Linked DNA regions of Arabidopsis thaliana. The protein of the gene in region 3 interacts with the protein of the main gene of each other region in a pairwise test. Each region holds a gene or a part of one and is shown on either strand. Other genes may lie near its edges. The genes, in order: TON1A, SAC3B, CEN2 and SAC3A.

What was found.
Region 1: the proteins of CEN2 (region 3) and TON1A come close enough for resonance energy transfer, tested with the Arabidopsis thaliana proteins (one study listed by BioGRID).
Region 2: the proteins of CEN2 (region 3) and SAC3B interact in a two-hybrid assay, tested with the Arabidopsis thaliana proteins (one study listed by BioGRID).
Region 4: the proteins of CEN2 (region 3) and SAC3A interact in a two-hybrid assay, tested with the Arabidopsis thaliana proteins (one study listed by BioGRID).

The regions. Positions count from the first base shown.
Region 1 is NC_003074.8:20,379,011-20,385,871, reverse strand, and holds TON1A (tonneau family protein), read right to left. Parts: upstream 4,413-6,861; 5' UTR 4,261-4,412; coding exon 4,174-4,260; intron 3,981-4,173; coding exon 3,848-3,980; intron 3,743-3,847; coding exon 3,654-3,742; intron 3,552-3,653; coding exon 3,429-3,551; intron 2,929-3,428; coding exon 2,804-2,928; intron 2,711-2,803; coding exon 2,685-2,710; intron 2,590-2,684; coding exon 2,433-2,589; intron 2,338-2,432; coding exon 2,295-2,337; 3' UTR 1,994-2,294; downstream 1-1,993. Other genes in the region: TON1B (tonneau 1b (TON1b)), read right to left, coding at 67-191, 633-755, 860-948, 1,214-1,346, 1,655-1,741. UniProt on the Arabidopsis thaliana protein: Involved in the control of the dynamic organization of the cortical cytoskeleton. May play a role in the organization of microtubule arrays at the centrosome through interaction with centrin 1 (CEN1).
Region 2 is NC_003074.8:1,903,559-1,910,695, forward strand, and holds the start of SAC3B (SAC3/GANP/Nin1/mts3/eIF-3 p25 family), read right to left. Parts: upstream 3,740-7,137; coding exon 3,651-3,739; intron 3,356-3,650; coding exon 3,221-3,355; intron 3,069-3,220; coding exon 2,976-3,068; intron 2,805-2,975; coding exon 2,712-2,804; intron 2,493-2,711; coding exon 2,400-2,492; intron 2,140-2,399; exon of another isoform or gene 2,098-2,139; coding exon 1,933-2,097; intron 1,633-1,932; coding exon 1,510-1,632; intron 1,265-1,509; coding exon 1,052-1,264; intron 689-1,051; coding exon 470-688; intron 409-469; exon of another isoform or gene 381-408; coding exon 133-380; intron 1-132. Other genes in the region: P4H2 (P4H), read left to right, coding at 4,186-4,322, 4,418-4,475, 4,583-4,687, 5,147-5,204, 5,354-5,529, 5,662-5,731, 5,822-6,117. UniProt on the Arabidopsis thaliana protein: Component of the TREX-2 complex (transcription and export complex 2), a muliprotein complex that functions in docking export-competent ribonucleoprotein particles (mRNPs) to the nuclear entrance of the nuclear pore complex (nuclear basket).
Region 3 is NC_003074.8:18,671,386-18,677,650, reverse strand, and holds CEN2 (centrin2), read right to left. Parts: upstream 3,515-6,265; 5' UTR 3,231-3,514; coding exon 3,228-3,230; intron 2,998-3,227; coding exon 2,843-2,997; intron 2,764-2,842; coding exon 2,736-2,763; intron 2,643-2,735; coding exon 2,490-2,642; intron 2,408-2,489; coding exon 2,305-2,407; intron 2,217-2,304; coding exon 2,149-2,216; 3' UTR 1,890-2,148; downstream 1-1,889. Other genes in the region: AT3G50370 (uncharacterized protein), read left to right, coding at 1-552, 640-1,215; AT3G50350 (membrane insertase, putative (DUF1685)), read right to left, coding at 3,945-4,048, 4,152-4,568, 4,721-4,745. UniProt on the Arabidopsis thaliana protein: Potential calcium sensor.
Region 4 is NC_003071.7:16,421,052-16,431,119, reverse strand, and holds SAC3A (SAC3/GANP/Nin1/mts3/eIF-3 p25 family), read right to left. Parts: upstream 7,580-10,068; 5' UTR 7,215-7,579; intron 7,095-7,214; 5' UTR 7,078-7,094; coding exon 7,021-7,077; intron 6,355-7,020; coding exon 5,455-6,354; intron 5,154-5,454; coding exon 4,734-5,153; intron 4,588-4,733; coding exon 4,486-4,587; intron 4,227-4,485; coding exon 4,129-4,226; intron 4,006-4,128; coding exon 3,837-4,005; intron 3,677-3,836; coding exon 3,194-3,676; intron 3,113-3,193; coding exon 2,972-3,112; intron 2,845-2,971; coding exon 2,785-2,844; intron 2,417-2,784; coding exon 2,286-2,416; intron 2,264-2,285; exon of another isoform or gene 2,080-2,263; intron 2,004-2,079; coding exon 1,870-2,003; intron 1,775-1,869; coding exon 1,545-1,774; intron 1,445-1,544; coding exon 1,349-1,444; 3' UTR 1,012-1,348; downstream 1-1,011. Other genes in the region: ABCG1 (ABC-2 type transporter family protein), read left to right, coding at 1-946; JAL23 (jacalin-related lectin 23), read left to right, coding at 9,403-9,747, 9,951-10,068. UniProt on the Arabidopsis thaliana protein: Component of the TREX-2 complex (transcription and export complex 2), a muliprotein complex that functions in docking export-competent ribonucleoprotein particles (mRNPs) to the nuclear entrance of the nuclear pore complex (nuclear basket).

The DNA.
Region 1 (6,861 bases), 1.7 Mb from region 3:
TCAGACTCATAAGCAACATGGAAGATTAAAGATCGTTGATTTGGTAGAACATGGAGTTGGATTTACCGTCGTTGATGAGGTAAGCTATCAGAAGCAGATGATCTGCGAGGAGGATTTCTGGTGTCAAGGCTTAATGACGACTCGGTTTCTGACTCTCTCCTTGAACTACCACCCATGACCTGCGTCATGTTCTGAAGAAAAATGTTGATCACTAAATATGAGGTGAATACAGCAGACAAATTATAATGGTTTTACTACAAGAGGATGGAAACATAATCCCTGGGTGTGACAAGAATTGTAGGCTTGGAATTCACCGAACTTATTCAAAGCTCTGAAAAATTCTTTTCTTGAGTAAGACACTTTATTTACTTGGAAAAAATGTGAGGTCGTGAGCACAATGTAACAAGATTTGAACTAATTTGGTAATTGTAAAGCTTCGATGTAACCAACAGGTATTGGTCATCTTCACTTAGAGAATAGAGGAACTGTAAACATTAACGCCCTGAAATCATGTACCATAGCTGGACTATTGTAATGTGTAACAAATATGGTTGTAAAGCTTGTAAACAGAGAAAAAAAAAAAAGCTATACTGTATGTGTAAACATCTTCAGAGAGAAAGCAGAAGAAATACCTCGAACTTCAAGAATCCTTCAAGAACATCCAGAAGAAGCGGTCTACTATCTTCATTTCTGTTGAGCTCATAACCATTGTTGATACTAAAGTCACGTATCTCAGACTTCCAAGAATCTTTTGCCTTTGCATAGGTTTTCAGGGATCACAGCATCAGTTAGAAAGTTCATCTTCAACGTACTTAAAAGAAATATCAGAAGTTCAAAGAAAATGAAATATATTGATTACCGAATTGCATTCTGGTTGATAAACTTTAAGCGTGTGATTTAATTGCGCCCAGTCCAAATATTCACAAATCAATGCAGATAGCAACCTGCCTGCATTTTAACATTTTATAAAGTGATCAAGATGACCTACTCAACTACACAAAATCTCAATGTTCATATCGCCTAAGAATAGAAGCAAGCAAAGTTTCACCCGAAAAAAACAAGGAGACACATTTCGAACAAGCGAATATATCTAAGTATCAAGAAAGCATTTCCAAACCAAGACATGCCATTTAGAACCATACCATTCAAAGAGAAAAGGTCTCTGAAGGGTAAAAGTGAAGAGAAGATATGAAGGATAAAAATTGAGAAAGACCTGAAGGAGAAGCATGAAGCTGCCTTGCACGATCATTGCAGCTTCCCAACAAAGCTGGAGGCAGTCCTTCATTGTTCTCTATCACTCTATCCTCTTCTTCGATTGCCTCAAACACACTTGCACGGAGTTCAGCCTACAGAAACAACTAAAATTTCAGCAGAAGAATATAGAGAAAAAAAAACAAATCTTCAATCTCCAAACCAAATGTTAAAGAATCCAATTCAGCTGAGAAGGTACAATTTTTTCACAGACTCAATTTCAAAGTACGACAAAAACTGGGAATTCACATGATTCCAGATGCATAAAGTAGATCTGGAAGCACGAACCCTAGAAAAGCAATGTATGTTTTCTCTTCTTCTCTGTACTCAAATCTCTCTACGGAATTTGAATGAAGTATGTCACAGAACCAGAGGAATCGTGGCAAGAGAAAAACAAATATACCCGGATCTTAGCGAGAACACCTTTCTTCTCTAGGGTTCGAGTGACTAAGGTCTTGAGATCCATCATCTCTCTTGTATAATCGTCCATTGTTCTTACCGCCAATTTGACGGATCAGATCAAAATAACAGATTCCCTACTAATGCAATCGGATTATTTGGTCACCGGAGAATTCTACAATGCCGTTCTGAGAGAAGCTTTTGCGTCATCCAGAGTTGGCTTCTTCGATACTTTAGTTTAAAGTTTTAAACGAAGAAGCGAGAGAGAGAGAGAAGACTAAAGGGAAAACAAAAAAAAAGTACGAGTAAAACAAACAGTGAACACATCATTCAAAAACCTTGTTTATTACTAGAGACATAATAATTTTGGAGACACTAAAATAAGAAGCAAGTGAATGAAAATATTCAACCACATTGTGCTTTCTTTGATTCTTCTTTCTGAACTCTTCTCTTCCCATAACAAATCTCAAAAGAAAACATTTTACTGTTTCATGTTTTTTGTTCTCAAGGAGACAGAGGTTCGTGCGTTAAAAAAAAGGCTAATTGAAAACGCAGTTGCAAATAAAGGAGAAACATACATATATCACGTACACAAACCATTACTCTACTAATCCAGAAGCTGAAATGTTTATCCAAAGCCTAAATCAATCTCTCCCTTCTTCTTCATTTGTTCCATCCCTCACATTCCTACAACACAAGCAAGCCCGATGGATCAGATTTACCACAACTTGCTTTGTTTTCATTTCAATGTGGGATTCAATGAGACTTCCTTGAAAGCTTACCTCCAAGACGATGTTAAGTTCCGAGTTTTCCTATCAAGCTGTAGATTTTCCAGCGCCGCTGAAGCTCTTGTTACCTCTTCATGTGTATCTTGGTTACCTTGTCTCCAGTTGAATTCATCTTTTCTGTACCCAGATGTAGACAACCCGGCTCTTCTATCTGTAACATCTTGTCATATTTATTTGGTATCAAAAAATAATGAAGCATACGTATTTCAACCAATACTTCAAGAAACTAGGGAAATGATGACTCACCCGATGCTTGAGATGCAGAAACCGGCCTGCCCATTTATTTGAAGGTAAATAAAGCAATCATGTCGAAGAGTAACGATCTTTGATTTGGCATAATAATAAGAAGTTGAAGATATGTGTACCTTCGTTGAGGAGGTAAGCTATCAGAAGCAGATGATCTGCGAGGAGGATTTCTGGACTCAAGGCTTGATGACGACTCTGTTTCTGAATCTCTCCTTGAACTACTACCCATGCCCTGCGTCATGCTCTGAAGAAAAAATTCATTACAAAAAAAAGTTGATCACTACATCTGAGGAGCATACGGCAAAAACAGATGATAATGGTTTTAACTATGATAGGATGGAAACATGATTCTTAGATGTGAAGAGAACTTGAGGCTAGGAAATTTGCTAAACGTGTTTTTCAAATCTCTGAAGAACTCTAATCTCTACTAAGAGACTTTATTTTTCTTGGAAAACTGAATTTTACTATCTATAACTTCTTCTCTTGGTTGCGAGGACAGAGTACCAAGATTTTATGTAAGTTGGTGTTTGTAAAGCTTGGGTGTAAAGTATTGATCATCTTCACTTACATAATAGGAACTGTTAACACTACAACTCATAAATCACACATACTACAGGTGGACTATTGTAATTTGTTTAGAGTATGGTTGTAAAGATTGTAAACTAAGAGAAGAAGTTATAGATAGTAAAGTTCTGTTTCACACTTGGCTGCAAACATCTTCAGGGGAAAAAAAGAAAGAAATACCTCAAACTTCAAGAACCCTTCAAGAACATCGAGAAGGAGTGGTCCACTATCTCCATTTCTATTGAGCTCAAAACCATTGTTGCTATTAAAGTCGCGTAACTCAGACTTCCACGAATCTTTTGGCTTTGAATAGGTTTTGCAGGAGTTCACCAGATTAGTGAGAAAAATTCATCAACAATCTTCTTAATGAAACATAGCAAAAGAAAACGGGATTATATTGATTACCAAATTGCTTTCAGGTTGATAAACTATGAGCGTGTGATTAAGTTGTGCCCAGTCCAAGTATTCACAAATCAACGCAGATAGTAACCTTCCTGCATTTCAACAAAAATTTCAAACCAAGAGATGCCATTTAGAACCAAACCATTCATAGAGGAAAGATTTAAAAGGATAAAAGCAAAAACTTGTGAAGAAAAAACCTGAAGGAGAAGCATGAAGCTTCCTTGCACGATCATTACAGCTTCCCAACAGAGCTGGAGGCGGTCCTTCATTGTTCTCTATCACTCTATCCTCTTCTTCAATTGCTTCAAACACACTTGCACGGAGCTCAGCCTACAAACACAAATAAACTATCAGCAAGATTCCAGATGCATAGGCAATTAACAATATCGAGCATTTCGATCTGAATAGCAGGAACCCTAGAAAAAGAGTAATGTATGTATTTCAAACGAATCACTTCTCTGTTCTCATTTCCACTCAAAAATTTCTGCGAATAATGTATGGTAGAGAAGTAGAGGGAATTTACCCGGATCTTAGCGAGGACACCTTTCTTCTCTAGGGTTCGAGTGACCAAAGTCTTGAGATCCATCATCTCTCTTGTATAATCGTCCATCACAAAATCAAATCAAAGTAAGGAAAATTAGGGTTTCTGGGTGTAAAATTGGATTTGGCAAAATTGGGGTTTTTGGCCGTCGGGAGAGAAAGACGTTGAAAGATGATAAAACGAAAACAGTAAAAGAAAAATAAAAACAACACTTTTGCCAAATCATCCCCTTAAAGATTGATAGTTTCCACTCTCGTCCGAAATTTTAAATTTTGATCTTTTGCCCCCTATGATTGTGAAATGTTTCTTAAATGTTTTGTCTTATCTTCCTTTTTTGAACGAGAATATGATGTCAAGTTCACATTTTGAGATGTAACTCAGAGATCACAACACATTTGCATTCATGGACAGAAAAATCATGAAGTTCGGTCCAATATTGCCAAGCATATGATATGAAATGTGTATGAATCATATTAGTTGTTTGAGCATTTTCTAGTGATGACTGACTATTATTTGATATAGAATCTCAGAAAACGAATGAACAAATAAGCATTAGATTTTCCACTCGCAAGTTGGGTCAGATCAAGGGCAATCGCTCCTTCTTAGATTATAATATTGGATGGAAAGGCCTAACCTTGCTTGTCGTTGGAGTTGTATGAAACTTTGGTAACTTTAGTGTTACTCTAATGGATCAGTATCATCTAGTTGTACAATATTGACATACTACACTTACTAATTAAAAAAAAAACCAAATTAATTAGTTACATTCAAGCAAAATGGGAAAGAAAAAGCTAATGAGGATACGTGTTTACGAATGAGCATTTGAGTATCCAACGCTTTGGGTTTGTCAATGGGATGAATCGGAATAGAAGAAGGCCCAAGAAAGAAGAAAGTCCAAGCTCGACTCTTGTGTTAATTATTAAATACTATGTATTGCTTGTGATCTTATAACTTAAAGTAGAGAGAGTACTTGGAACTACTTTTCTTTCTTCTTGTAACTGTGTATTGCTTGTGGTCTTTTAACTTAAAGTGTAGTCGATTCTTCTTATAAGAAAGAAGCCAAGAAACTTATTTATAGAGTTTGAACCAAAGAATATGATCAAAAACGTATATAAATCCGATTTCTTCAGTTGTTTCTTGTTTCCATTCTCAGTTTTATTCACCTACTTCTGTTCTGCTTCTTTTTATTACCATTTTAGTCCAACGGTTATGTAGCTTAGTGTTTTCCATTTTGATGTCACATACTCACCCTCGCAAGTCTCACTTCCCTATATAGCTAAAAGAAAAGAATCAGAACTAGTTCAGGACTTAGGAGCACATGGTTTTTTGGAGAGGGTATTCTCGTCATTTTAAGCATTGGCTTTTGGGGGAAACGAGGAGGGGAAGCTACCACGTCGCCCAAAACTGTTCCCACATATATGCGTCAAACATTAAACCGAAAACGTTAAAACAATTTTTTTTCTTTATATAGAGATTTGACAACAAATAATAAAATAAAAATGCCCACCAATTATCAAAGAATATGGTTGAATCTTCAATTATTCAATTTTATAACGTGCTTCATGCGTTTCCACTCGTTTCTCTATCACCCCTTTTATAGATCTACTCTACCAACAAGCCCCATATTTATTAATCTTAGCAATCGCTTCTCAATCTCCCTCACATACAAAGTCCATAATTTTCTGGCCGGAGGCTAATCTTAGATAATATTTGTGTTTGACCTACTAACGTATATCATATTTTCCCCAAATGTATCATGGTGTAGTTCCTAGGTCTCGAATTCGGATCCAACAGAACCCTTCTAATCGATTGAACATAACCAACTATGAACTATATATATTTAGGTTAAATTAAAATTCTATCATGAATTTACTATATATGTGATGGAAAAAAAGATTCGGGATGAATGAGAAACTGGTTTTGAAGCTAGAATAGTTTTTAAAACACTTTAAAATCATGTGTTTATCAGATGTGGTTTCATAACACTATGTTCCTACTAAATACAAACATCCTAATTCGTTTTTTAAGCCAACAATATGAGTTTTATTCATATTTTAAGTCACAATCCTAGCTTAATATAAGACTTCAACAAAAAATTTAGCAAAAAATTTGGGTCCGAGTTGCAACCTACAAATAGATTGTGTTGTTTAGGTGTAGAAAATAGAGACTATAAACATAAGTGCATAAAGCACAAGGTTAACAAAGAAATTGACCCATCACTAGTAATATTCTGATAAAAATTTCAAAGCAGTTAAATATCAGAGATTTTTGCATATAGTACACGTTCAAGTATTTTAACCATTTCAAGAAATTTGAGTGGTAGACAATATTTCAATTTTCGATTGAGTAATAAACTTTGAAGTGTGTAGATGACTTCAAAACACATTATCATTGTGAATTATAGGGTAATACGTTATTGTGCAATGCAAGTTATTAATAATGTAAGAAAAAAGGTTACTCTTTTACCTATTGGAACTAGAATGAACAGAGATATTTAGTCTTACCAAATAAGGAAAGGCCGATTCCTTAAAATCTAATATTTTCTTGCATATCTGGATAAATTGAACGGCTGGGATTTGAGAACCAACTTATCATCAAATCTATCATAATTATTTGTAAAAAGAGAGATATAGATTTGGAGTGAGTGATTGGTGAGTGGTTGAATAATAT
Region 2 (7,137 bases), about 17 Mb from region 3:
CTAGAACTAGCCATCATTTATGGACAAAATAAATATCGTTGGCAACACAATTCTTTTTTTATCAGATTATATGAACCAAAGACTATTTACACTCAGTTGTCAATTTAATGCATGTCTCAGGCATATGCTTACCAGGACACATGTCAGGGCATACTCCAATGATAAGAGAGGGCTGCTCCGAGTTTTCATAATCAGGCAAGGCATCTCCCTTCAGGGCATCCCTACTTGATTCAAGCGAATTGAATGTTTGTTTGTTGTCCAGAGGCTTCATAGTTTTATTTACAGGTGATTTAGTAAGTTGAATATCAACAGGTCGGTCTGCAATAGGCTCCAGTTCACCCTTGAAGCGGGCCAGTCTCTTTGCCCTGGCTTGCTCTTCTCTATAAGAAATCCACACCGTTTAGAAAACTTTAAGAACTGGTCCACAGATTAATGCAAAGAGTCAATACTGCGTGATTAAATATTGTACCCTTCTGTACAATCTTGAGAAGGGAAAGAGTTTCGCGGGATATCCTCTTCAATTGGATATACAGGTGGAGATCTCGTCCTTTTTGTTGCAGGTGAACTGTTTGTCTTACGCGCATTATTGAAACTATTTACAGAGGAGGGCTGTCCAGGAAATTGAGAATCTGAACTTCTTGAAAGTGTATATGACTTTGTGCCTGACGTAGGTGGAGATGTCGAAAACCTATCACAGAAACAGCATGCTTAACTAGGAGGAAGCTCAAAGGCACATCAAACCAGATAGAGAAAAGTAGATTTGTTGCAATAGCATTAAGATAAAGCTGCAGGAGAAGTAAGCATGACTTCAAAGGCTAGTAGCAGAAAAATTTCCAAGCAACCATCTAAGTTTAAGGTGAATACGCTCATAAGCCGATTTGCTAAAGATAAAGTTTCTTAAGCCGATTTGCTAACGATAAAGTTTCTTAGGATTGTAACTCTATTCTATAATCGTGATTTCTCCTGCCATTCATACGTACACGTATGGCACAGAGTGGGTGAATAAAACATAATAAGCTTTAGAATGTACGATGAGATTCATGCTGTCTACCTTTGAGAGTCATGTTGAGACAATATGGGGTCATCTCCAAGGGGTTTATCAGAAGGTGCTACAGCCGAAGACTTTCTTCTAGTAGCTTCCTGAATTTCAGCTACTTCATGTGCATAGGGGAATGACGAGTTTCCGGTTTGTTCTTGATGAATCAACTGATTGGGATTGCTCCTCGACCTCACCGGATTATTCTCCGCAGAAGACGGAGAGCGCCTACACAAACATGAGAAAAGGTTCCAGGAAATAAGTTTCAAAAGTTAGTGAGAGGATAGAACAATAAATTAGTATAAAGATCAAGGAGCAAAGACACAGGTATGGTTCAAATCATTATCCACAAAGAGTAAAGACACCACAAAATGAAATATTTTATGACCTTTTTAAAACCAATCAAAACCAACAGCGAAAAGAGAATGAGAAACGAAAACATTATGACACTGACAAGAGGATAAAAAGCTCACATCCAAGTTCGGCTAGAAAGTGGCTGAAAACCATCTACCAAGTTTCCATTCTCAAAACCTGATACTGGCGATTGATTTCTTCGAGAAAACCCCATATTCTGGTCAGGAAGAATATCTGACCGACTGCAACAAAAATTGAGAATTTTATAGACCGATATTAGTTACATCAAAAAAACCAGGATATCAGTAAACACCATGGCCATGTCTATGACATCTCATTCATACCACCTAGGCCACACAACAAACTGATAAAATCTGAAAGAGTAAGATACATGATGCAGAACAAGGAAGGTGTAAACTCCCACAAGGACAGATGTTAAAAGGTTAAGGATAAGATAGGGATACAAAACAGACAGAATGTTTATTTCAGAAAGATCCTGCTGGCATAAATGACCTTGATCTAAAGGAAATGGCATAAACGACCTTTTTCTTTTTGAATCTTGTGATCGACCAATCTCAACAGCATCAGTTCCCATTCTGGAAAGAATGTGAGATGTAGCAGGTGGAGACGTGGCTCGACTATGTTCACCATGATCTTTCAAGAAATTCCTTGATCCATCGTGCCCATATTGAGGATTTAAATTAGGCCTGTGAGGAAAAATGAAGCAGGTAAATTCAGCTAAGTCGTTAAGAAAAATCCAGCAGCTTGCTTATTAAAGGCTATAAGCCAAATCCAGCGATAATGATCTCTTTAGAGCTTCAAAGCCGCTGCCATAGTAAGCCCTTATGTATTAGGCAGAGAAACTTATAGCACTCCGCCACACTCTACTTTCTTCCTACTGCTATAATTTCAATTGCAGAAACTGAAAGCATTTGAGATGTGTGATTAACACAGCCGCATATGAGTAATGACACTCTTCTTAGTCAAAATATGTCACGTACACTTTTACCTCTGAACTCCAGGAAATTGGTAAGGTCTCACAGAGGGGCTTGTACGTGAAGCTTCTGGACCCCATGCTATTCCATTGAAAGGTTCTGGGATCCTGAAAAACATAGCATCAAAGTGTTCTTATAACTTTCTCGGCGTAAAAATTAGTGCAACATATAGAAGATTCAAGCAGAAGTTTTACAAAAAGAATCAAAGCCAAAGAAAACAGAAAATTTGGTTTATCCCATCTTCACTGTTTTGGGTTCCCGAAGATCCTTTACAGGTATAAGGAGTGAAAAAAAAAAAAGAGAGCCATAATAGTAAGTTATCTGACCTTTGAATTCCACCAGGTTGGTAAGGTTGTCCTGAGGAGGGTGATGGATTTTGAAAAGCCGACGGAGATGGTATTCTATTAATTGGAGGAACACTGCAAGCAAAAACCATAATAACTTAGGCTAGAATCTAAAGAAGAAGAAAACCCGAGAGTAGACTGAAAAATTAATAATTGAATAAGTAACCAACCTAACATCATCATTAGACACATAGAACTGAAAGAGAAAAGGAATAAAAGCAAGCCATACGATTAAGAATGTCTAACCTTTGAACCCCACCTGGTCGGTAAGGTTTCCCTATAGAGAGCTGAGGGTTTTGAGAAGCCGACAGAGGTGGTGCTCGCTGAATTGAAGGACCACTACAAGCCAAAGTTACGAAAGAAAACTGAGCGAATTTACGAAAGAAAACTACAACAAGTAGCACAATAGGCTCTTCCTATGGAGGCTCAGAAACAACCTAACATACTCGCATAGAAAGAAATCAAAGCTGTAGAGCTAAGGTTAATCTAACCTTCGAATTCCACCAGGTCCAAAAGATTGTCCTGCAAAGGCTGAATGGTTTTGAGACGCCGGTGGTTGAATTGATGAATCACTACAAGCAAATCCAACATTCGCAGTGTGTAAGAATAAAAAAGAAAGGTACAATCTAAGAACAAAAAGCAAAGTAAAGCAACTCGCAGCTTCTCCTAAGGAAGATGAAGAAGCAAAACCCGACTGCCTAAGTGATATAGAACACAATATCATAGAAAATTCAAGATACTTCTCTCATTCTCATGATCCTAAACACTTTAATACAACGATAGCATATATGTAAATTTGACAGTTCAAAAAAATCTCTGAGTATAATAGATCCATAGCGTGAAATGAATCCTAAAAATCTCAAAACTCGAAGAAAAGTCCGATTGAAGCATAGATACATCTATAGAGAATGAAGAGCACACCTAGTGGTTGAAGAAGCACCGAACGGTGTAAACGGCGCTGGCTTAGAGCTCATCGGACCTAAGTCCTTCCCGAAAGGCCTAAACGCCATTCTCTGAGAAAATTCCTTGACTTGATTATCGCTGCCTCTCTTCTAATTCTCCTTCAACCTTCGTTTAATTACGTCGCCGGCTAAAGTCGAAACCGGAGCAAATTGAATTTTCTGTTCTGGTGACGCCTCTTCCGTCCGGCGAGGATTATTTTACGTTTAAAACCAACGACGTCGTTTTTATTTCCGAATTTTATGTTGGGCCTTTTAAGTAACAATAGGCTTATTATGGGCTTTGGTCAAGGAACAAGAATAATTGTTCAACCAAGAAGAACGTGCGCATGTTGTCACCATCTCCCTTGAGCCTCCTTGTTTTAGGTAGAACATCAACTTTTCATGACCGTTGACATTTTTTTTCCCTCTTTATTTTCCGAGAAAAAATAAATAAAATTATCCTCTAGTTTTCGATCTCGATCATCTGGATCCAAGAAATTACTACGATTGCTATAATGTCGATGTCTCGGCTCGGATTGTTGTTGTTCGTCGCTATATTGCTCGTCTTGCTTCAGTCTTCCACTTGTCTGATTAGTTCTCCAAGTTCTATCATCAATCCTTCTAAAGTCAAACAGGTTTCGTCGAAGCCCAGGTTTGATTTTACTCTTTCTCTTGTCTATTTAGTGAGAAATGAAGCAAATTTGGAAACTTTGAACCTCCAACTGTGTGTATTGACTGTTTCTTCAGGGCATTTGTGTATGAAGGTTTTTTGACGGACTTGGAATGTGATCATCTAATCTCTCTTGTGAGTGCGAATTTTGCTCTTTGGGTTTGAGCTCAAATTTGGAAACTTTTTGGCTTAAATGTGCTAGTTTCAGTATCTAATTTTGGTTTTTTTTTTTTTGGGGAAAGGCGAAAGAGAATCTGCAGAGATCTGCGGTTGCTGATAACGATAATGGCGAGAGTCAAGTCAGTGATGTTCGTACCAGCTCCGGCACTTTTATCTCCAAAGGAAAGGTGCAATTTTAATTCGGCACATCAGATCTCATTGAATGGCTTGATTGGAATTGATCTTGATTCTAATTTATGACACTCGACCTCAAGAACTCTGAATCTCTGATGTGATTTCTGATACTAATGGATCTGATAAGTCAAACCCCTCAAGATCTGATGGAAATAGAAATTTTAGAATAATTCAATCCAAAAGTTCACACACATATTGAACTGGTCATCAGAGTTTGATAAAATGATGTTGATAAGTCGAGATCTTAGTAAATTGACCCCAAATTGTGTTGATTTGTGATTGTTGTTTACTACTAAAAAGGTTTTAGGGTGATAGCTAGACATAAATTTACTTCTGTGTATGGATGAAGGATGATGAATGATACTTAGTGATTATTAGGAACAGATTTGAGAAATTTAGATATCTCAGTGTGATTACAATCTTAATGTGAAGCTTCGTTTGTTTAATGACAGGATCCTATTGTTTCCGGTATCGAGGACAAGCTCTCAACATGGACATTTCTCCCAAAAGGTAACTTTAACAATCTGAATGGTTTTTCAATAGTGGTCTCTCTGTTTCACAATGTCAATTGACAAGGAACCTTAACTGTTGTTGAGTTTCTTGAAAGGGTTTTTCAGAAGATATTATTGTTTCCTAAGTTCTTCACTTTGTGGTCACAGAAAACGGGGAAGACCTTCAGGTATTGAGATATGAGCACGGTCAGAAATATGATGCTCACTTTGACTACTTCCACGACAAAGTCAACATTGCCCGTGGTGGACACCGCATAGCAACGGTTCTCTTGTATCTGTCCAATGTCACAAAGGGTGGAGAAACTGTTTTCCCCGATGCACAGGTTTGTTGTTTTTCAGACAATACCACCAATTTCCGCTTACATTTCCACAATTGCTAATCTTGTATTGGTTCTCTATATACGTGGACAAATAGGTCTTTACTCTTTTTCTGTATGATGAATATTTCTGCGCAGGAATTCTCTCGCCGCTCGCTTTCTGAGAATAAAGACGATCTTTCTGATTGTGCAAAGAAAGGAATCGCTGGTGAGCTATATATAAAAGGAATCATGACTTGTTCTTTCCATGTTATCTCTAAGAATGTTTGTGTTTGATATTGGTTGGTAATGTTATTAGTGAAACCGAAGAAAGGGAATGCTCTGTTGTTCTTCAACCTCCAACAAGACGCAATCCCAGACCCCTTTAGCCTTCACGGAGGTTGTCCAGTGATCGAAGGAGAGAAATGGTCGGCTACTAAGTGGATCCACGTGGACTCATTCGATAAGATATTGACACATGATGGTAACTGTACTGACGTAAACGAGAGCTGTGAGAGATGGGCAGTGCTTGGAGAATGTGGAAAGAATCCAGAGTATATGGTTGGAACTCCAGAGATCCCTGGGAATTGCAGACGTAGCTGTAAAGCTTGTTAAAGACTTTAAACTCCTCTTTTTCTCTGTAACATTAAAAGTTTTTTTTTCTTGATCGAGTTTCATTTTCTTGTTTCTGATTGTTGTTACATGTATCGTCTCGCTTTATAGAATGATTTTTTTCGTCTGGTTAACTTGAATTATATTAAAACAACTTACGTTAAATATATAATACAACTTTTTGTGATGAAAAATTTGAAAATAGATTATTTTTCCCCCTGAAATAGTTGCGATCGAGTCTCGTGACTTAGATCAACTACAAAAGTCGTCGTTTCTCGTAGATCTAGGGTTGTTTACTCCAACATGGATTCCAAATTGAAAAACGCGGATGATGATAATTCGATGATGGAGATATCTGAGGAGAATGAATCGAGGAAGCGCAAGGCAGATGATACTTTCCCGGTGGATTCTTCCGATGTTTGCGAGAAAGAAGAACAAGTCGAAATGTTGTTTACACACAGCTCCTAAAATATATTATATCGGAGCACTTTGACGTTGAAAACATAGGTGTTACACTAATAGTTCTCGATATAGTAGAATAAAGAAAGAAGGAAAATGAGTTGCTTTACATTGAAACCCAAAACTGACAACTGTAGTTACTTGACATATGTCGTTAAAGATCCCCAAGATCAATGTACTAAACCCAACACTATTGTTAATTGATATAGTAGGATAAAGAAAGAAGGAAAATGAAGTTGCTTTACATTGAAGCAGAATATGAGTTAAAGCTGTTTCAAAATGAATGCTTAGTGCTTGGCCCTTTCACATTCTCCATCCAGTGTTCACACGCACTCTCTTGAGGCTTCTTGTTTCTTCCAGCACGAATCAAAGTCCTGTAATTCAATTAACCAATATAAAGAACAACTTATATTAGTTCCTTTGTTATGAAGGTATAAGAAAGCTGGTGCTTCTACGAGATATTTTTGCTGAAGGTAACTAAATCAAAAGCTTAATTCTAGGCCAACATGTAGCTGTGATCAATAATACAAAAATTAAACAACCTTGTAATGTTTAGAAAGTATG
Region 3 (6,265 bases):
TGGCCACAATTACCAAGTCCACACAACTCAAACCAAATGATCACTCACTTCCCTCCAGGCCCTCCTCATTACCCTTTCTATGATGTGAATCCCATGTTAAGAGGACCCATTTTTGCTTTTGGCCCGCACCATGACGCAGGAGCAACCCAATCACAGTCCCAGAAAGGTCCAGTAACAGTATCTGGTCCACCTACGACCTGGCAGCAGCAGGGTCATTCTGGAGTAGATTCCTTCTATGCCCCTCCTGCCGGTTTCACGGGTCCTTTTCTAACCCCACCCGGTGCTATTCCTGGCGTTCAGGGACCTCCTCACATGTTTGTTTATAACCACTTTGCACCTGTTGGACAGTTTGGAGGGTTGAGTTTCATGGGAACAACTTACATCCCATCTGGAAAGCAACCAGATTGGAAACACAACCCAAACGTATCTTCTTCTCCGGTTGGAGGAGATGGTGATGTAAACAATCCTAATGTGGCTTCCATGCAATGTAACATTGTACCTGCGTCTCTTCAGCACCTTCCTATGCCAATGTTTGATCCATCTCCTTTCCAGGTATTGGATCCCATCATTATGATTTCCAATAATGCTAACTAGTAGAAGAATCCATCGACTTAATATTTATTTTATGGTGTGGGTCAGTCTTCTTCTCAGGAGATGCCTATTCGAGCACGGTGGCCTTACATGCCATTTTCGGGTCCTCCAACGATGCAAATGCAGAAACAGCAGGAAGGAACAGATGGCTCCAATCTTCCATCACCTCAGTTTAACAACAACATGCTTCCTCCTCCTCCTCCTAACAGATATCCCAACGTTCAAGCATCCACAGTTGTAGACGCAATGGTGGACTCCTCAAACGCTTACAGTTCCACCACTGGTGCTCCACCAGCAAAGCCCACCTCCACGTTATCTGATCCCAACAGCAACAACACTCAGAATCCAAATGGTCCTGGCTTCAAGCCACCACAACAACAACAACAACAATCTTCTCAGGAGAAGAACACGCAGTCTCAGCATGTTGGTGGGCCCAGCCACCACCACCAACACCAGCACCATCAAAACCGGAGATCGGGCTACCATGGCAGAAACCAACCCATGGCCAGAGAGAGAGGCTTTCCGAATAACCCAAAGGTCAAGCAAATCTATGTGGCTAAGCAGACTGGTAACAGCTGTGCCTCTGCTTCCTCTACTACCACCACCACTTCCCCCTCAATTTGATGATTCTTCACCATCCAGGTCCGTTCAGATATAAACTCATCCCAATAACCCAACCAGCTTTGGCTTCATAAGAAGATTTGGACTTTTTTTCCTTTCAATTTTCCCATATATCAGTTAGCTTCCTTTTTTTCTTCTTTTTATCCTCGTTAGATAATTAGATTTTGTTCTCTTTACTCGTTTGGGGATTCATTATATGGGGACTTTGGTAATGCTTAATTTCGTCATGGTTGGTAAAAATATTGTCGTGAGGTTTTCGGTGTAGAATACCCAATTCACGGCCCCAATGTATCTGTTGTCAACATTATCTTTATAGCTTCTACAAATCAGTACACACTCTTATTGAATTAATTTTTTATGCTTTACTTTTTTGTTTCAAAACCCTTGTGCAATGAATCGACAACTTTTAAAGTTTTAAGCTAACTTGGAAACTTTGCCTAAGGAAAATGCTTTGTTATGATCAATGGATCTTTTTTTCTTTTTGGAATCCATTGATGTAAGCTTTCAAAGGTCGGATATGTTATGTAAGTGAAGTTTCCACAGTTGTGTAACTTTACAACTTATGGTTGACATAAAATGGTACCACTTTTTGTGAAAGAAAAAATGATGAATCGACAACTTTAATGCAACAGGGTATTATGACAAGACAAATCTAATATCTTTTTCTAGATGATGATGTGCGCAGAGGTCCAAATCTTGACGACTTATGAAGTAACCAATGCGAGCTCCTAAAGTTTTTCACTAAGACTACGAATATTTTGCCAATTTATACATCTTATAATGATACAAAGACAGACCAAGACTTGCCATTAAGATGAGCTATAGATTAAAACTGTGATATATGTATCTTCAGTAATAATATTACAGATAATTAAGCCTCAGTTAAAGAACTATAATAGAGCTCATCAAATATCGTTAAGAACAGCAACAACCTTTCTAGTTACCACCATAAGCAGTTCTCCTCATCATCCTCATGAATTCATCCATGTTAACTTCACCATCACCTGCAGTTTTCAGTAATGTATCATATATCTTTAGTCAAACCAAGCATTGTGCCACAAGAGAATGAGAAAAAAGGTTTAGGACACTTACGGTCTCGGTCTGCTTCTTCAACCATCTCTCGTATCTCAGCATCAGTGAAATTCTCACCCAAGTCCTTTGCCATGCGTTTGATATCATCCGGAGATATCTTCCCCTGAAAATTTGGAAGAAAAATAGTTTAGCTTCTAGAAAAATTAAGATCAAATGAAGTAACTAACTAAGTTATGAGTAAATACATTTTTGTCAAGATCAATGATCTGGAATGCTTTAGTGAGCTCTTCTTTTGTGTCTCTTTCACCAATCTTAGCAGTCATCATATGAACAAACTCATCAAAATCTATAGCTCCACTTCCATCTTTATCCACATCAGCTATCATTTTGTTGATTTGCTTCAATACCAAATACATCAAGGTATCAGAACCATAGATATAAACAACGAATCTTAGCGGAAAAAACCGAAAAAACGAAAGAAATAATAATACCTCTTCCGTCATTTCAAAACCAAGCGCCCTATCACAAATGATAATATCAAGAATCAATTCCAAAACCATAAAACAAAGACAGAAAGATATAAAGCTCTCGATATTACCTCATAGCAACATTAAGCTCTTTAGCATCAATGGTACCAGAACCATCAGTGTCAAATAGCTCAAAAGCTTCCTTAATCTCTTGCTTCTTCTGTGTCGTCAATCCATGATGACGTCTCGGTTTCTCTTTTCTCGAAACAGTTCTGTATATACTCGACTGCAATAATAACATCCAAAATTCAAAATCTCAGCTCTAACACTAAAGGGTTTCGTCTAAAATCTTCTTCAATCATGGAACCCTAATTTCTTCATTCTAACATTCGCTAAATACAAATCAGATCTTAAAAAAAAAAATCCATCATGCAAAATTGTTATCTAGAGATCCTTAGAAATTGCTAATCTCTAAACATAAAAAAAATAAAGACAGAATCAAAGGTAAGAACGAACCATATCTTCTACGAATCCTCCAAATCGATCGATCAAAGCTCTTTCAGTTTGCGCGTCTAAAGAAATCTAACGTTTCTGCTTTCCTTTACATTGTTGTTGCTTTTCCATACTAAAAAGCGGTAACGATATGGGTCAGATGGGCCTAATAGTGAAGGCCCATAACAAAACACAGATCTGCTATGTGTAGTTCTTAATCAGACAATCAGACAAAACACAGATGTGTTACTTACTCCCTCATCGTTCCCTACACTTTCTCTATTTTCTCACTATTTCGATCGTTTCTTCGGCCATAATTTTTTTCTTCTTTTCAAAAGTTATAATATATATAAGTTACGCTACAAAGATTTTGATCTGAAAGAGATCAGTTAATCTGAATTAATCACTATATGCAAATTCACGTGAATTTGCATAATCCTTTATCAAGCTTAGCAACGAATATAAGAGAAGCCAACACCACTCTCCCATGGACAAAAGTCAGACAATAGAATCTGAGAATATACTTTTGCAAATTGTGTTCTGTTGCATATATAAAATTATATATCACATACTAAAAGAAGATAAATCAAATCAAATCATGCATTATACAATAAACAATATAACTTATAAACAAGTTGGGTCCAACATATATTAGTATTTTACTATTGTGTGTGTAATATTACAACGCTGACTGGACTCCACCGACTGTTTGGCGTCTCAATTTACATACCCTGTTCCGGATTAACCTTTATCCCCACAACGTTTAACAGTCGTTAAAATTATCATCTCGGCGGCGATTGGTTCACGGTGCACGCCACCACTCTCGCCCATTGCTTCAGCTTCGTCTTCACCGTTTGCGGATCATCACCTATTCAAATGAAATTTGATCATTATAAATTTATAATCGTGTATGTGTATATATGTGTGTGTGTGTATGTTTATACATACTGGTTTGGTATACGGTGTGGTGAGGACTGGTATCGCCGTCGGAGAGTGAAGACGACGACGTTGTTGATTTGTTAGAAACGGCGTCGTTGTAGCTTTTTTGAACGGCGAAGTAAAGTTCTAACGCGGGAAGCGTGTTGGAAAGTCTTGGATCAGCGTTTTCGGGAGATCCGAAACCGAATCCGAGTTCGAAACTTGCTTTAAGCTCGTCGAGATCTTCGTCGGTCAAGCTCTTACCACGGCGGAGATGACGGTGGCGGGAGATATCTTGACGTTTTGACCAAGCTTCCTCGCGGATTAGATCAGGAGACCACGAGTGTTGCTTCAAGAGAGAAGTAGAAGGTAACGGTGGCGCGTGTATGCGACGCACTACCCCCGGCGAGGGGGTGTGCGGTGGTGGAAAGGTTTTACGATCAATGGCTGGTTTTTTGGTAATTAAGTCGAAATATTTGGGTGAAAAAAGTTAGGGGGAAGAGAAAAGTTAGTTGAAGATTAGTTATAAAGGAATGGAAGAGAGAGAGAGAGTGTTGCCGACTCAGGGATATTGGGCCGGCCCAAGTCATGATGATGACCTGGATTTGTTTTTGATTGGTTCATTTTAATTTTATTAAATTATGTAATGTACCTGGAATTACGAAGCAACACAAGTTGGCATTGCATAAAAATACTATAAAACTTTGGAATTTCTTCCTTTTTAATCATAGAATAAGGGAATTTTATGAGTAAAAGTTCGATACGAAATCGCTTTTATGAGACTTTATGTAATATGAAGAACTAGTGGGTTGAAGTTGATGTAGATAAACGACCTTATGTGTAACATCATCATCTTTGTATAATGTCCTTTCTGAGATTAAAGATACCGTTTTTAGATTTTAGCAAACGATGTACATTGACTTATATTGGGATTCTGGATTTGTGGCCCAGTTAGCTTCTTATAGCCCAATAACTATGTACTTAGTAATACAGTATGTTAACACTAAACCAATCCTTTTCTTGGTTTGGTTAGAGAACACTAAACCATACATAAGCTAATAAAGAGATTGATTCGAGTAGAGAAACAAGGTAAGGTTTGGTTCCTAACCATGAGAAGATAATCAGAAAAATCTACATCAGAATTTCTCTAGGTCAAGCTTAATTGTTAATAATAGATGGGTAGATATTCTCAATGTGTAAATCAATAATATCCATATGTACGAGAACAAACTTTTTTATGGCCGGTTGAACTAACTGTATTTAAGTGATACTTTACTGCGTGAACTAGTTGTTGAACCAAAAACGGTTCCAATTTAGACAGTGAAACCAAACTCGGCAGACTCTTTATGTTGGACCACAACAACATAGCCGATGATCATTAAGTCAAAAACTTAATGTGGTGGTGGAGTGGATGGTCTTTATACTCGTTAGTGTTTGATGAGCTATATTGGATATATAGGCATGTTCTAAGAATTCTAATACATATTAATGATATACATTTTTGTATCAGAAAGATGCATAGTATAATGTTTTAAATACATCAAAATGTGGTAGTTGGGTTTCAACAGCACCCAAAATTAGAAACTGTTGAATTGCAAGTTGACAATGACAACTTCCTTTGAAAATATATATCATCAAAAGATCGAAAACAGTCATACGAATTAAGTTTGTTATAAGAATTGTTTCGATCATTAAAATAGTTAAAATTTGATATTGTTTATACATTATTGATCTGATATTCTGATATGATCACTATTCAACTTTTGTTTCATTTATGTGTACCGTTTGTTCAACGTAAATTGTATATTCTAATTCACTAGCAAGACCTTGTTATGTTCTCTTTCCCATTTTACACTATTTACGTTACTGTTACCATTCGGATCGGACCTGCGATATTACCACATATATGGTATACTACTAAAACAATCCTTTATGTAAGCTCTTGACGTATTCCACAATATAATTAAACTTGATCTATTAAACGTATCATGGCATGTCCCAAAAGTTTACAATTTCTATACATAAACAGAATTTTAGAAATATGGACTAAATATTTAATCTGCTTAATAAAAACAGTGAAAGAAATACGCAGACCTGCAAAATCACTTTAATTTGGTGAATCTTATGGAACATACAAAAAACAA
Region 4 (10,068 bases), on a different chromosome or scaffold from region 3:
TGCATTCGCGAATCCAATGTGGATCGAAATCAAAACTCTCTCGAAACGATCAATGCTCAATTCACGAAGACAACCAGAGCTATTCGGAATCAGAATCGCCTCTGTTGTTATCACCGGATTCATTCTCGCCACCGTGTTCTGGCGATTAGATAATTCGCCTAAAGGAGTTCAAGAGCGGTTAGGGTTCTTCGCCTTCGCGATGTCGACAATGTTCTACACTTGCGCCGATGCGTTACCAGTTTTTCTCCAGGAACGTTATATCTTCATGAGAGAAACTGCTTACAACGCTTACCGGAGATCCTCATACGTTCTCTCTCACGCCATCGTCTCATTCCCGTCGCTCATCTTCCTCTCTGTAGCTTTCGCGGCGACGACGTATTGGGCAGTGGGCTTAGATGGAGGCCTAACGGGCCTTTTGTTCTACTGTCTGATCATTTTAGCCTCGTTCTGGTCAGGAAGCTCCTTTGTCACGTTTCTATCAGGTGTGGTTCCTAGTGTGATGTTGGGTTACACAATCGTCGTTGCTATTTTGGCTTACTTCTTGTTGTTCAGTGGATTCTTCATCAACAGAAACCGAATCCCGGATTACTGGATTTGGTTTCATTACATGTCATTGGTGAAGTACCCGTATGAAGCGGTTTTACAGAACGAGTTCTCTGATGCGACCAAGTGTTTTGTGAGAGGAGTTCAGATTTTCGACAACACGCCATTAGGGGAACTACCGGAAGTGATGAAGCTGAAGCTTCTTGGTACAGTGAGCAAGTCCCTCGGGGTAACGATATCGAGCACGACTTGTTTAACTACTGGTTCAGATATTCTGAGGCAGCAAGGTGTGGTTCAGCTGAGTAAATGGAATTGCTTGTTCATCACAGTTGCTTTTGGGTTCTTTTTTAGGATTTTGTTCTACTTCACTTTGTTACTAGGAAGCAAGAACAAGCGGAGGTGAAAACAACTAGAAGACCCAAATCAAAACATACTTGTATTTTCTGTTTGTAATTCCTTGAATTGTTTAATGAAAATGGTTTCTTTTCATATATATAAAAAGAGGTATGTCTCCTGGATTCCCTTATCTCAAAATCTTATAGAAGAATAAGGATTTCCATATTCACAAAAACGTCTTTACAAACAAATTTGACTTATCTTCCAAACGTTTCCTACTAACAGACTATCAAGTATTATAAACCTAATGTCATACCTGAGATTGTGTGTGTGAGCAGATAATGATGATGATGAAGCCAGAGAGCCTTGGATTATCTTCATTGGTCTCCTTAAGATCAAAAGATATGATGAACTTCGATTTTGCTTTTTCTGTTTCCATCAGACTATAACAAACATTAAAAATATTTCATCATGTACGTGTAAAAAAATCATTGACATCTAGATTTCGATCTCCATGAGCAACTGCGTCTTCGGGTTCTGGCATGAAGAGACTCGTTGATGTCGCCTGCACAAGGAATAACACAACCAGTTCTCAATCCATATCTTGAAAATAAGGATCTACAAGTTTCATAACAAACATATGGCAAATGCAAAAGAAGACTTACCTTGGTATCAAGAAGCATATCTCCGTTGCTGTCAGTAATGATGTTAGCACCATGAGTTTTTAGCCATTCCAAACAGTCCTCCATACCATCGGTCTCCTTTTCATCAGTACCTTCGCTTGCAGCACCAGTAAATCCCAACACTTGGACTATGTATGAGACCGGGATTGTAGGACGACAACTACGAGACATAAAATTCACAGCCTTGTAACGCATCTTCTCCACATAGAGATCTGCAAACATAACAATTTCACCATATCTTTACATATCTACTCATTCAATTGTTTAAATATATCAAGAGAGTTTTCATGTATCATATGACCCTTACCCATGAGGCAACTATTCATGTTTGGTGCAGTCTTGTAGAGTCTGAAGAACATAACATAATTCCCTGATGTGACAGCTGCACGAACTGAAAGAGCATGTCTAACTGCTTCATCCTTCTTATCTTCTTCGGATAATCTTCAAAACAGAGGTCACAAAATTACTCAATCTCATGCATACAAACCCAATTCAAAGAGGTAGTAGTAACCTCTTTGCACTGGTAGGAAGAGATGTTACAAAAACTCAACTATCAGGTAGGTGGACAGAACATTAATAATTCCATTACTAACTCAAAGAAATTGTGTAGCAAACCATATTCTGATATTTCTACAAAACCTTAATTTATAAAAAAAATTCCCATGAACCATGAATGCATCATGCTTAAAAGGAGCCCAGAGATGGGACTTTACAACTACTAACCTGGACATGGATGATAGCAGTTCTCGGTTGTTGTTAGAGTGTAGAGTAATATAGAGTAGACTGTACGCAGCAAACTCCAGAGAGCATCCTTCTACACCTTCCGCATAAAGAGTTTTTAACTGTGACAGGCACTGTAACAAAAAAAAAAATAGAAATCAATTTAGCAAGGCTATACATACCCTAAGAGTTATAGTCTCCTCAGGAATAGACAACAGATGTATTTTACAAGACTTGATGGAACGGTATCATTATATTGCAGAATCAATGCAAACAAAAGCCACAATCCATAGTAACCAGTCATCAGAACTATGCTCCCTTTTGCAAAGTTTCTCTCTGATTCAACACTTTATGTTGCTTTTTTATTTTTTAGAAAATGAGAGACCAGTGAAATTCTAGCAGTGGTTGATACTCTTTAAATTACGAAAAAGACAAAAGTGCTTGATACCGAATTTGAACTAGAAATTCTGATTGATCTATCAATCTATGCTAGCGTACCAACCTGATTATACTCAGGTAAATCCCCTGCCTCCAAAGCTAATCTAGCATGTGTTTCATAAACCTGAAATTGAGATTGCACATGGAACCATTATAAACATGCTAATTGGGTGTAAATAAGATAAACGTTCCAACAGGAAATGAATCCTACATGCAATAACACTCGACATTATTGGAAGTCAGTTATGTACCTTAGCTGTTAAATGATTGTGTATCCGTTGTACTGTGAGGTCTTGGCGAATAGACTTTAGTTGATCACATTTAAAAAGATAATTCTTTTGAGAATCCTGAACCATTATCAGAGCTTTTTCCAAAACATCCTCTGGTCTTACCTGAAAATAAGTCAATCAAAAATATCAGTCATGGTGTCAAAAAGAATACTAGGTATAAGAATATAAGATAGTAATATTTACGGTGGCAGGATCTGGCGCAGAAGTCAGACGGAGATAACGTTTCTCAATTTCCTGGCAAGTGCCTTTAACAGTTAGTGCATCCCAGTCAATGTCTTCCACAGCTCTGCTGCCACTTTCATCAAAAACTTTGCTAAGCCTCAAGGCAGTGGCTCTTCTAGAATGCAAATTTCCAACATTTGCATTCTTAGGTTTTGTAAGATCATTCCCTCGGCTGTGGCCTTGAATTTTTTCAAAACGCTTGGAACGACTATCACGTCGCTTCTTTTCCTCGGCAGAACCAGCAAGTGCCATTGCACTGGAATAGTAAGGTGTCAAATCCTTGTCACTATCACTAGATGCCTCATCATCAATGGCAGTAGCTGCACCACCAGAAAAACGCTGTCGCTTGACAGGCCGCTGGAAACTTTTTTTTGCAGAATTTTGCCCAGAATAAGTGGGCTTGAAGCCAGTGGCAGCATCCACCTTTTGAAAACTCTCAGAGCTCTGCAAAATTTCCGATTATCAGAACGACTGCAAAAACCGAGTTCTAACAGCTAAAACATTAGACCAACTGCTAAATGCCTCATTAAACCAACAGCTAAATGCCTTCTTTTCAATTCCTTCAACCAGACATTAATAAATAATAAGGAAGAGATTGGTTAACCTTTTTGTTGTTTTCATTTTGGTGATTCCAAACTCCAAATTTAACAGCACTGCTGAAAGTTGAAGCTGGCTTCACAAAAGGTTTTCCTTCCACCAACGGCTCCCATCTACTTTTGGGTCGTCTTGTTGGGCTCTTATTTTGTAACGAAGAGAGCTGAGCGGAGCTTGACCTATGGCACAGTGTAAAACTTAGTGGGCAAAACATATGAAGTAAGTGTTCCAGACATATCATATAGAAGAACGAAAGTTATAGATCATGCAGGCAGCAGTGGATGGAGGAAAAAAGGTCGTACTCAGAGTTAGTCACATTTGTGGTCGTGACAGTTGAGAGAGGCTCAGTATCCCAATCTCGAGTATAAAGAGTATTATCCTCCTTTGCTTTTTTGACAATCTAGAGATACAAAAATAAGCATTAGCAATGCAAAGCAACCATAAATTAACATGGTATTCAAATAACTGCTATATGATTTCTTCCATAAAAGGCATGAAATTATCTTAAACATACTACAAATCTACTCGAAAGATCAAGTTGAAGAAGTTCATCCAAATTTTGCAATAATATTAAGATGAGCAGAGTGTGTAACTAAAATCATCTATCATGCTACAATAGTCCAACAACCAGAGCGTCTACAATTCCTACTAACATTTACCTTCCTCAGGGCAACCTCGCAAGATTCCTTTTCTTTATCATCTTTGCAGCGGGCAAAAGCCCTCTCAACAAACCCACGAAGCGATTTTGGGAAGGTTCCAGGCTACAAGCATCGGCATTATTTGTTTCCAATGTCAATTACTCAATTGTGAGAAAGAAACAATTACTCAACACACAAATTTATGGTGGCCAACATTTAATATCTACTTCATTTGCTAGGTCATCAAGATTTGAATAAAGGATTCTTACGTCAGACATAGCAGTGGTATGGTCTTTAGGCTTTGGCATTGAAACACTAACATATGCAGGTGCTTGGGCTGCACTGGCTGCTGTACTATCTTTATCCATTTTGGTAAAACCTGATGGCAAGTTTGAAGCAATTCTAGGGTTAGTTGGAATCTGTACTTTGCTTACCCTTTGTGAATCCACTAACGGTGCTGTCTGAGTAGGCTGGCGATAGCCTAACGGTGCCTGGTGAAAGGAAGACTGGGAGTTCATCTCTTGAGGATATGTAGCTCTCTGATGACCCTGAAAGGGAGTCTCGTATAAAGGTTTTGTCTCCAGAGGACTCTGGTAATTATTTTGAGGTGGAACAGGATGATGAGCTTGCAGACTTGGTGCTTGATGCATCCAGTAAGTATCATTAGATGTACTAACAGCTGCACCAGGCTGAGAGAATGATGATAAAATGATTACTAAGTTAGTATTCAATAAAAAGGACCCCCATGAAAGAAAGCAATCAGAGATCATGTCTAAACTGTCTGCAAATAAAACATTTAAGAATTGACTCTATGCAGTATTGCTTGGTAGCTAACAGGTCAGTTACTATCACTCTTTTCCCAACTTAGTTGATTTATAAGGACAATAACACACATTTTATCAAGTAGCTGAAAGCAGAAAAGCATTCTAAACTCAAATAAGCTTAAGGGCGCAAATTTACTCTACTCCCTCATGAAAGTAATATCTGAACCTGTTGAGAAGGTGGATGGGATGAGTCAGTTTCCGGCCTCCAAGGTTGGACATAAGACGGGGCAGGCTGACTATTTGAAGCAGGCATTTCACTAGTAACACCAGGAACTGGAAAGCTCTGACTATATGCACTTGTGGTTGGGGTAGACAGCTTTTCTGTGCCTGGGGCACAGGGGACTTCTGTTTGGCTGTAATATTCTGTCCATTGTTGGTAGTTCTGTTGATAATGTACAGGTGGTGTGGTCGCAATAGTAGAGCTATGTGTGTTAGCAGCATCAGGAGTATAATTTTGATAAGGGTTTGAGGTGTAATCCGTATAGTTTCCCTGGTTCGAAGCAGGAGTCTGATTGCTGTAATTTGTACTTGGGTAACTTCCAGCCGTTTGGTTGTTATAGTTCGTACTTTGGTAACCTCCAGCAGTCTGATAATCAGCAGGATTGTAGTAAGTTCCTGAATAACTTGGAGTCCCAGCATAAGATCCTGGATTCTGAAATGAGGAAAGAGGCTGAGGAGCACCTGTGTTTTGATAAGCCCCTACAGGCTGAGGATATGACTGGCTAGGTTGCTGTTGATAGCCACTGTAGTAATTGGAATATCCCGTGTTTGAATAGTTGTGTGGGTCAGAAGAGGTCTGGTATGGCGTATATCCACTATAATCTTGTGCCACATTTGCAGTTCCGGACGTCGATGAGATAGTGAAGGATACAGTATTCGGTATCTCTTGCACATTGCCTGTGGCTGGCCCTGTCGGCTGTGGATGGTAATAGTTTGAATTTGAATAGTTCCCATTCTCCACAGCCTGATTTTCAACAGAATGCCCTGTCCATGGGGCACTTTCAGACCCAGTTGAGTATTGATATGAATATTTCTGTGTTTGGCTTCCATCAACACCATATCGATTCTGCATAAAAGAAAAAACATTAGTACTGGCCAAGGTCTGAGAATCTTCATTTAACAAGTAGACATAAACAAAAAGTTGAAGAGTGAAAAGAAACATAGACAAACAACAAACAGAAATGTCATCTCAGATAAAGACTACATTAGGATGCTAAAGCCTCCCACAGTCTCAAATCAATCTGATTGAATCAAACAATAAAACTGCAAATTTCCATGAAGTAAGTGATCAGCAGCTAAGTTTCGTAACAATACCTAACACCTAATAGAAAATGTTGTACTTTGCATCATTGAGCTGTATTCATAACATATTACTAGTGAAAATCATACGGCTCCACAGAATTGATGATAGGTCTATTCTTAAAGCAGAAACTGATTTTCTGAAATGTTCCAAGAGTTCACATACGGAGCCTAGAATCAAAGTCACTTTTTTTCTGCTGCATAAACATACTGACATGCAAAATTCCTCTAACCATTACAATGGTGAACTAACAACAAGCATAACTTTCATATCTACCAAGTTAAATCTGGAGCAAACTAAAATAAACAAATTCAATTCGCAAAAATTGAACCAATGCACGAAATTTCACTTGCATATAAAGACTAAATAAATCTGCAAATTGGAAAAATTTAAGCTTAAAAGAAAGAGAAGGCGCAAGAGATTGTTAATTACCTCAATGGAATTAGGGTCCATTGGTGCTACGGCCTGAGTGTTCCCTCCGTGATTCATGCTTTATCATCAACGTCCTGAAAAATCATCACACATACGATTGAACTTACTTCCCAATGAACATAGCAGAAAAACTAAATTCATTCATTGAAAAGCCCTAAATAGCAAATCAGAGATAAAGCGTCAAGAATATGTACCAGTGAAGCTCCAATTTGTGTCTTCTTCGTTCGGATGAAGAATCGAATTGAAGATAGTAGAGCAGAGCAGGATTTGAGATCAAAACCAAAAACAAGGTAACAAAAGGAAACGAATAGAACCGGAACAACAACAAAAAAAAAAAAGGCAGATAAAAATAAAAAGCTAAAGGGAAACAATCAAAGAGAGTTGTCAAAATCTATCGGAAATTACAGAACACGGAGAAAATCGAGGAATCTTGCCGAAGAAGAACAATTTTGTTGTGCCGGAGACGAAGATTGTCAAATTTTTACGGTATACTAGCGTCGTCGGGTCGGTTCGGTTGCGGATCAGGTTTAGTCTTTCCGGGTCGGGTTTTTATATAGCCACTAATTGGGCCCATTATCTTTCGGACTTGCCTTTTCTTAGTGGATCTGAAGAATGCAAAAAAAAAAAACAACGTCGACAAATGAAATAACAAGCATAGTAAATAATTAAATATATAAGATTTCGAATGTTTACGGTTGTGTTGACGTCAAAAAAGAAAACATTTATATGATAAGTATTTGGGTTAAATATATAGTCTATATAAGTTTTGGTTGAATCAATGTTTAGTTTAGACAAATCTTGTATTGTATATCGTTACATGTAATTTAGCTTAGGTCATGAATTTAATGTAGTTGCTTCTATCGCCAACCCTTTTGGCCAAGAAATCCGGCAAAAATAAAAAGTGCTTAACATGTAGTATAGCAATCACAACAATCTCTAGAAACTAATTGAGTGATTGGTTGAGATAAATCTAATAAGTGAAAGAAATTAACCATAGAAACAAGCTATTGGTGATGAACGGAGTAGCTATCTAAAATATGACTACACTATAAATCGACACAATATTCGAGAAAACAATCATTATCCAACATATATATATATATATATATATATATATATGAATTCGAAATTCGTATGTACAGATTATGTTCTACGCGAAAGTGTCAAATGTTTAGTAAGAAATCGGGTTTTAATCCATATAATAGATATCAAGGTAAGATTATACTGTTGCGGTGATTATTATATCGGTGAGGATAGAATATTGTGGCTGTGACTTTGTAACGTTAAAAGTTTAAGACAAGAGAGGAAAGTTTATGAGCAAGTAGGGTAGGATATATAGATGAAATAAACGTGAGAAATGAATATGTGGATGCAATTTCAGTTTGTTGTGTGGGGCTTGTTTAATACTATACAGTATACTTATATCGTCATTGATTTATATAGTACACCTATAATAGAGCTATCAACATCACACTATAAATATTTACCCTACCATGCATTAGTTGATTCCTCTATCTGCGATTAGTGGAAAATTTTGGTATTTTATTGCGATGTATATGAATAGGGTACAATGTTGTCATGGTAGTATTAGTTTATTACCAATCACATATCCAGCTTAGGAAATGATTATAAAGCTATGCATTCATACTTGGACTAACAAATAGTTTAGTTTGTTTTTTTTTCATTTTTAAGGATTAATTTGGTGATTCAAAATGGATGAGGATCTAGCGGAAGTTGGCACTTTGCGGTGATGAAGGAGGACGTGAATGGGACGACGATGTAAACAGTATATGAAAAATATTATAACAAAATTTCTTTGTGAAACAAAATTGTTTTGTTCCTCTGTTCATTACAATCATGGATGTCTCCATCTGACAACTTGTAATATGCTAGTATTATTGGACTCTTATCAAAATCATCTATTGCTTTATTTGTTAGAACCTCTCGTCTCGTGACATATCGTCCAGAATGATAACATGCAGCCAGGATGCTCTTGAGATCTCTAATATATTTTGGGTTAGTTTGGCTATTTCTCTTCTAATATGACTTAAATTACAAATTATGGGGATTGGTTTGGCCTTGTAAAATGTTTTCCTTCTCATATTCTTTTTGAAGGAAAAGTAAAGGGAACAGAAAAAGGTCAATCATGATTTAGTTACAACTTACAAGTATAACTAAATTATTGGAATCAACAAAAACGTGTTCCAAATTGTATCAATAAATAGACATAGTTGATAGTTCCTTAATTTCATTCTGAATAAGATCAAGAATTTACAGGTTCTCTCTTCTCTCTCTCTCAAGTTCTGATTTGTTTATACAAATTACAACTTTAGTTTCGTAAATAGGTACTCATTAGTTGATCATTGCTCTCTATGTCTTGCTATGCAATTCAATAGGCTAGTGTATCACCAATCACAGATCCGGGATCCCGGCTTAGTAAACATTATAAAGCTTGAATATACACTTTATTTGGATTTGGATAATTTAGTTAAAAAATTCATTTTACAGTATTTGAAAAAATACAAAATGGCGAAAATCTACCGGAAGTTGACAGGCTACGGTGGTGAAGGAGGGCGTGAATGGGACGATGATGTATATGAGGGTGTAAGAAAAGTGTATGTAGGACAAGATATCAATCGTATCACTTACGTCAAATTCGAGTATGTGAAGGAAGACGGCCAAGTCGTAACAACTGAATATGGGAAAATCATTCAACAACCCAAAGAGGTTCTTCACTTCATTTACCCTCTCATCACATTCCAAATTTTCTACATCAAATATCTAAAACTCACACTACAACACTATAACAAACTATTATACTACAAGCTCCGATCAATTATAAGTTCTTTTCGTGAATTTTAGTTTCTTGATTTTTTTGGTTAGAAATTTTAATTTCTTGATTGAAGAAATGATATTTAATTCATAAACAGTTTGTACTTCAATATCCGGACGAACATATCATAGCGGTGGAAGGAAACTATCGCGGAGTGGCTCTATGTGCCACAGAGGTGATCACAAACCTCGTCTTCAAGACCTCAAAGGGTAGAA